2 linked regions of the Ovis aries genome follow. The protein of the gene in region 1 interacts with the protein of each later gene in a pairwise test. Links are inferred from orthologs where the notes say so. Each region holds a gene or a part of one and is shown in the gene's direction. Other genes may lie near its edges.

Region 1 (3,221 bases):
CTCCGGGAGGCAGGGCAAGTGGGCGCGCCGGGAGGCGGGCTAGGGGGGTGAAGGACGAGGGGAGTGTGGCGGAGGTGGGAAGGCGGGGTCTGGTGGGGGTCGGTTGAGGGGAAGTGGGCCCAGGGCCAGGGGACTGTAGGGGGTCCCGGAGGCGGAGGAGGGTGTAGGTCTGGGTAGCGGGCCAGGGCAGGCAGCTTCTTTTCCTGAGTTTAACAGCAACCTCTCCTGGCTTTTTCCGTGGAGAAACTGGGGCCGTCTGGAAGCACCTCTGACCTGTAGTCCTACCTGGAGCTAAAGCTCCCTCCAGAGGCGGCTTGAATCTGTCCCAACCTTGGGCTACTGGGCTACTGAAGGATGCAGGCCAGCAATCCTAGTCCTGGTCTGTTGCACCTCAGCCCAGACACTGGTGCTGCTGTGCCCAGTGTTGGGTCTGCCGCCTCTGTCCCAGGAAGGTCCTGGCATCTGGGGAGGGAGACCGACTTGGGTCCCAACCTCACTCTGCCCCTTGGGCCTCTCACTCAGCCTCTCAGCTCCCGTTTGTAACTCATCCAACTTTCTGGGTGCTGGACAACCTCAGACCTCCCAGTGAAACCACGGGGTCTGTCTCACTGTCCTTGGGGGTGGCTGGGACCTGGGGCAGCAGCCAGGAATGCTGACCCCCTTTCTCCAAGGAGCCCCAGCCTTGTGGTCAGGACCTGCCAGGCTTGGGAGCACAGCTATGCCCAGCTCTGGGGCGCTCTGGACCCTCCTACAGAGGGGAACCTAGGTGGAGGAGGGGTGCAGAAGGAGATAGACTCTGGGGTCTACACTGGGCTCAAAGCCTGGATTGAGAGCAAACTACCAAGTGTTCTGGGCTCAGGCACCCCATCTGTGAGCAGGGGCACCGATCAGGGGCTTTTCTTATGGGCTCAGGAGGCTCCGTAATGAGGAACAGGCATGATTACTCCTCAGAGCTGAGGCCACCTTGCCTTCTGGGCTGGCCCTGGGCCTCTGCCCTGCACCTGCAGTGGGGTGTGGACAGTCTGCAGGACAGTGGGGTCCCCAGCTGGGGTCTGGTGATGCTCAGACAGGATCACTCTGAATCCTGTCGACAGCTCCAGAGGAGCAGTGTAAACCCCATTCCAGATGGGGCTACACAGCTAGGCAGTGGCTGGATTTTCCAAAGCACAGGCCCAGTGCCCCTGTCTCAGCCCTTCCCTGTGTCATCACAAAAGACCATCAGTAGAGTGTCGGCCCTACAATGTCCACTTTTATCCAGATCTGCAGCCTGCCCACCTGGCCCTCCAAGCAGCCTCTGTCCAGAGAGATGAGCCCTCCTCACAAGCCTCTTCCCGCTCCCACCCCCACCCCCAGAGGCCAGAGAGCCCAGCATGGGGGCCAGTGGGACTGAAGTCACACACAAACACTGCCCTGAGTGGGCCCCGGGTGGGCGGCAGAGGCCAGTCTGAGCATTCCGTTCACGTCCTGCCCTCCGCCCCCTGCTCCTAGACCATGAACTTCCAGGTGACAGGCCTGGGCCTGGACAAAATGAAGCTGGACAGTCCCCAGTCCTTCCTGGAACAGGAGGAGGTAGAGGAGGCCGAGGATGGGCAGCTGCTGGAGCCCGAGGCTTGGCGAACCTATGTGGAGCGCCGCAACACTCTGCAAGAGTTCCTGACCTCAGACCTGAGCCCCCACTTGCTCAAGCGCCACCATGCCCGCATGGAGCTCCTGAAGAAGTGCTCCTACTACATTGAGATCCTCCCCAAGCACCTGGCTCTGGGCGACCAGAACCCACTGGTGCTGCCCACCACCATGTTCCAGCTCATTGACCCATGGAAGTTCCAGCGCATGAAGAAGGTGGGCGCTGCCCAGACCAAGATCCAGCTCCTGCTGCTTGGGGACCTGCTGGAGCAGCTGGACCATGGCCGCTCCGAGCTGGATGCCCTGCTCGAGTCGCCAGACCCTCGGCCCTTCCTGGCAGGCTGGGGGCTCGTGGAGCAGCGCCTGGCGGACCTGTCGGCTGTCATGGACAGCTTCCTGGCCATGATGGTGCCAGGGCGCCTACACGTCAAGCACCGCCTAGTGTCTGACATTGGCGCCACCAAGATTCCCCACATCCGGCTCATGCTGAGCACCAAGATGCCCGTCATGTTTGACCGCAAGGAGTCGGTGGCCCACCAGGACTGGGTCAGCCTGCGCTGGTTTGTCACCATCCAGCAGGCTGTGCCAGAGCAGTTTGAGCTGCGCTACAAGCTGCTGGACCCACGGACACAGCAGGAGTGCATGCAGTGTGGCATTATCCCCGTGGCCGCCTGCGCCTTTGACATCCGAAACCTGTTGCCCAACCGTGCCTACAAGTTCACTGTCAAGAGGGCGGAGAGCTACACGCTGGTGTATGAGCCCTGGAGGGACAGCCTCACCCTGCACACCCGACCAGGGACCCCTGAAGGGCCCGCCCCCAGTAGGCTGGGCAAGCTGGGCCCGTCCCTGATCGCACCTTCCGAGAGATGATTTTCTAGTATTTATCCACTAATAAAGAGGAGTATAAACACACATACACAATTAAAGAAACAGACTTACTTACGTTTTAGAGGTGGTGGCAGCCACATGAGTGTTTTTTCCTGACTCAGCACAGCCCACCCATGAGTCCCGCCCCCTCCAGCTCCTGCTCTCTTTTCCGGCGGGGAGCCCCAGGCTGGCCTTTGCAGGACACTGACCCCTGTAACAAGAAGCCTCAGCTTGCCTGGCACATGGCTGCCACCATCAGCGGTGAGAACGGCTCCAAGGCTCTGGCACCTCCGCCCCAGCCCCTCCCATGTGCCCCCAGCTCCTTCCTATCACAGTGAGCAGCCATGTGACCTGGGAACAGGCTCTGGCCACCTTTCTTGCCTCCTAGGCTGGGGTTTCCCAAGGCAGGTGGATACCCCCAAGTCCTGCCCAAACCTCATTGGAGGCAGTCATGGCCCCATTACTATCTCACCTGTCAAGGCCAGGGGGCCCAACAAGAGCACATTTTATTTTATTTTTAATGAAAAGTATTGTATTCTCCCCAAAAGAAGCTTAAGTTCATCTGCAGCCCCATCCTTAGGTGGATGAGGATCCTAACAAGGGAGACTGGCAGGGTACCCTGCCCAGATCCAGGCCAGTGGGCAACTGAGAGAGTCTGCCCTTGCCTGCCAGTGGTCAGCTCGGCCAGTAGCTTGCTTGCTGCCTGTGCACATACCCACTTCGGGAAGGTG
Region 2 (3,824 bases), on another chromosome or scaffold:
TCTCCTGCTAAGTCTGTGTCCAACTCTTTGTGACCCCATAGATGTAGCCCACCAGACTCCTCTGTCCATGGGATTTCCCTGGCAAAGATATTGGAGTGGTTTGCCATTTCCTCTTCCAGGGGATCTTACTGACCCAGAGATTGAACCCATGTCTCCTGTTTGGCAGGCAGGTTCTTTACCACTGAGCCACCAGGGAAGCCCCAGAAAGAGTAATTTTTAAGAAAAGAATTATGAAAACAGATGTTTTTACTTTTGTCATAAAGTTATGCTATGATATAGGATTAAACCTTGACTAAAAAATCAGGATTTACATACTCTTCTTTTGGGGATGATGGACATTTTCTTAGTATTAACACTCAGGACGGAGAGGAGGAAGAAGAGAGAAAGATGCATGGTTACTGACTTTGAATACTTAATAGCTTACACATTTCTTTCTCATTTGGCCAGCTTTGTGAAACTTCTAGATGAGGGACTTCCCTGACCAGTTCAGGGACAAAAGACACTTGTGACTATATTATAATAACTGAGATTGTTCTGGGTACTATATTGGAATATTATAACCCCCTCATTGACTAGTTCTCAGTCATAGGATTTTAGAGCTGTGCTAGAAGGACCAGCATTCCCAGCTGGTTAATTGTGGCTTCAATTCATTATAGTCTGCAGATGTTATTGCTAAGTTAAGCATTTTGATTTATTCCCAAGGCTTAAAATTCCTGTGACACAGAATTCCAACATTCTTTTTCCTTCTGTAGTCCACTCTCAATATATGAAAAATAAAAAGACTCCAGTACATGTCCCTTTACCACGCTCCTCTGCTCTTCCACAAAACTTCCCTTGTGAAATTCTATATGATAAACCCTTAGTGTACCTGTGCATAAATAATTATACTAGTTCATAGAACCTTCGAACTCTGTGGAACACAGTTTTAAAAACTGCTTTAAAAAATATCTATATATAAATATTTAAACAATTTCAGGATCCATTTTATAAAATAATATTTAAAACTCCTAATTTAGAATCATAGATCTTAGTATTATCAGACTTTGTTTCTCGGATAAGAAAGATCATTCAGTGAGATAGATTAAAAATAATGATAGTAGAAAATAGAATTTAAAATCAATTTTGTTGTATATTGTGAAGAAAGTGAAATAGAAAGTCATTATAGTTGTGAACTTTATGTTGATATTAGTTCTCTATGTATTTATCAACATTCTAAATTTTTTTCCTAGTGTAATCGCTCAAATTCTTCTTCACCTGTTGACAAACTTAATCAGCAGCCTCGTCTAACCAAACTGACACGAATGCGCACAGATAAAAAGAGTGAGTTTTTGAAAGCATTGAAAAGGGACAGAGTGGAAGAGGAACATGAAGATGAAAGCCATGTGGGCTCAGAAAAGGTAATTGAACGTGTAGTGTAATTCTTGGGCTTGACATTAGCATGTCATTGGAATAGTTGGACAGATATTATTTAGAATCTTCGAATATTTTCATATTTCTGAAAGCAAGGCTAGTTAGCTATTTGCATAAATAATGAATTCCTTTCTGAATAGAGTTTTCTTACTCTAGTTGCTGTTCAAAAATGAAATTTAAAAGATTCCTGTTCATATTTGTACTTTTGGTTTTCCCCATCTTGCCTGCCTTTGTCCTTTTAATTTTTGGTTGAATAGATGTGAATACTTGAAGTTAGTAAGTTCCCTTCACAACTTAGTTTTACATCTTATGAAACTGTTTTCTACATGATTATATAAACATCACAGTTATGTTTTATCCATGAAGATCTAACCAGGATCTATTAAAGTTTCCTTTTTTAATAACTATTCTCTAATTTTTTTTTTAACTCTTCAAAAATCAGGATGACGACTCATTTAATTTGCATAACAGCAACAGTACTCACCAAGAAAGGGATATAAACCGAAACTTCGATGAAAATGAAATTCCACAAGAGAATGGCAATGCCTCAGTAATTTCCCAACAGATCATTCGGTCTTCAACCTTCCCACAGACTGATGTTCTTTCTAGTTCACTTGAAGCAGAACACAGGTCGGTGTTTTTACTTTTTTCTCTACCCAAAATTTTGATTTTACATGGAAAATTGATTTCTTTTTTAACAACTTCATCGAGATATAATTTATATACACTCTTAATTTTTTTACTCGGTTCGTTAATTTTGGGTGTATTTGAAGTTGTGTAGCTGTCACCACAGTCAGAACATTTCTTTCACTCCATAAAGAAACCCCATGGTCATTTACAGTTACTCATTGTTACTCTCTTTCCTGGGTAACCACCAGTCTACTTTCAGTAATACTTTCAAGGTACATCCATATTGTAGCATGTGTTTCTCTGAAAATTGAGTGCTATTTATTTTCCATGGCTTCAGATTTTCTGTAAATCTCTTCGGCGGGGAGCGGGGGGAGGGCTGTGGGATCTGTTTCCCGACCTGGGAGCGAACCCAGCCCACAATAGTGAAAGCATTAATCCTAACCACTAGACCACTAGGGACCTCCCTGTAAACTTTCTTAAGTTAACATACATACATAAGTACTCATGTAGCTTGATTTAAAAAGTTAGGTATCAGTGATACAGTTCTCAAGGATGACTTTTTTTGTTCAGATGTGTTAATTAAAATTTAAAATGAAATAATTTGGCATATATATTACTAGTTATCAAGTTTCAGTATACCATCACAATATTGAGGATAGTTTCAACATCAGAGAGGTAATTGTTACCTTGTCTAAGCACCAAATGAATTAATAGAAATGAGTTCCAGAGAAATTCAGAGGAATTTGGGGTTAGATAGCATTATGGCTTGAGTACCAGTTAGAAAGTTTTAATTGGGACCTAAATTAAATCTTAAAGGGTGAGACAATACAAGCAAGGGTACTGGGTAGTCATTTTGAAATGGGGGTATGAAAAGCTGTTTAGAATAGAATACACGCATGTTTGTTTTAGGGCTGATGTATAGCATAACTTGACAATAGTGTGGAGTCCTAAATGGAGTTAGAGATACATTGCAAAGGCAGGGTCTTAGAGATCTAGTCAAACTATCTGAATGCTTTAGATGAAGAAGGAGCTCTGTCTTATACCTGGTTTTTGAGTAGGATTTGTGACTCAGGTCTTCCACTTCTAGTGTTGTGCTTTTTCTAATGTAAGGAATTTGAAGTTGTGGTCATTGTGTGTTATGGAGTTTGCTCTTTTAGGAATTGGGAAGCTGTTGAAAATATTTGGCAGAGGGTGGTAATTGTGAAAGTGATATTAGAGTGATTTGATAATAGTTTGAAAGAGAATGAGAAGAAATGCTAATGAAAAGGCAAAGTACAGATCACTGTTATGATCTGTTCCTAATTGTGGGTTTAGTCCAGAGGCCACAGAGTTTGGTGCAGTGTATATTAACTGGGGAGGCAGAAAACCAGAATTCTGCTGCTTTGCTATCAAGTAGGCAAAATTTTTTACTTACATGATCATGGTTCTTCATCTGTAAAATGTGGGTATAGTGTTTTGTTGTTCAGTTGCCAGGTTATGTCCGAGTTCGCAACCCCATGGACTGCAGCACTCTAGGCTTCCCTGTCCTTCACTGTCTCCTGGAGTTTGCTCAAACTCACGTGCATTGAGTCAGTGATGCCATCCAACCATGTCATCGTCTGGTGCCCCCTTCTCCTGCTTTCACTCTCTCCCAGCATCAGGCAGGGTCTTTTCTAACGAGTTGGCTGTTCCCATCAGGTAGCCAAAGTATTGGAGCTTAGCAGTAGTTCTTCCAATGAGTATTCAGGGTTGATTTCCTTTAAAATTGACTGGCTTGATCTCCTTGCTGTCAAAGGGATTCTCAA

What was found.
Region 2: the proteins of FNDC11 (region 1) and GPBP1 interact in binary tests that used the Homo sapiens proteins (3 or more experiments, as listed by UniProt). The link is inferred for Ovis aries from reciprocal best matches to the Homo sapiens genes FNDC11 and GPBP1.

The regions. Positions count from the first base shown.
Region 1 is NC_056066.1:53,817,655-53,820,875, reverse strand, and holds FNDC11 (fibronectin type III domain-containing protein 11), read left to right. Parts: upstream 1-1,491; coding exon 1,492-2,493; 3' UTR 2,494-2,609; downstream 2,610-3,221.
Region 2 is NC_056069.1:22,216,946-22,220,769, reverse strand, and holds part of GPBP1 (vasculin), read left to right. Parts: intron 1-1,229; coding exon 1,230-1,397; intron 1,398-1,852; coding exon 1,853-2,040; intron 2,041-3,824. UniProt on the Homo sapiens protein: Functions as a GC-rich promoter-specific transactivating transcription factor.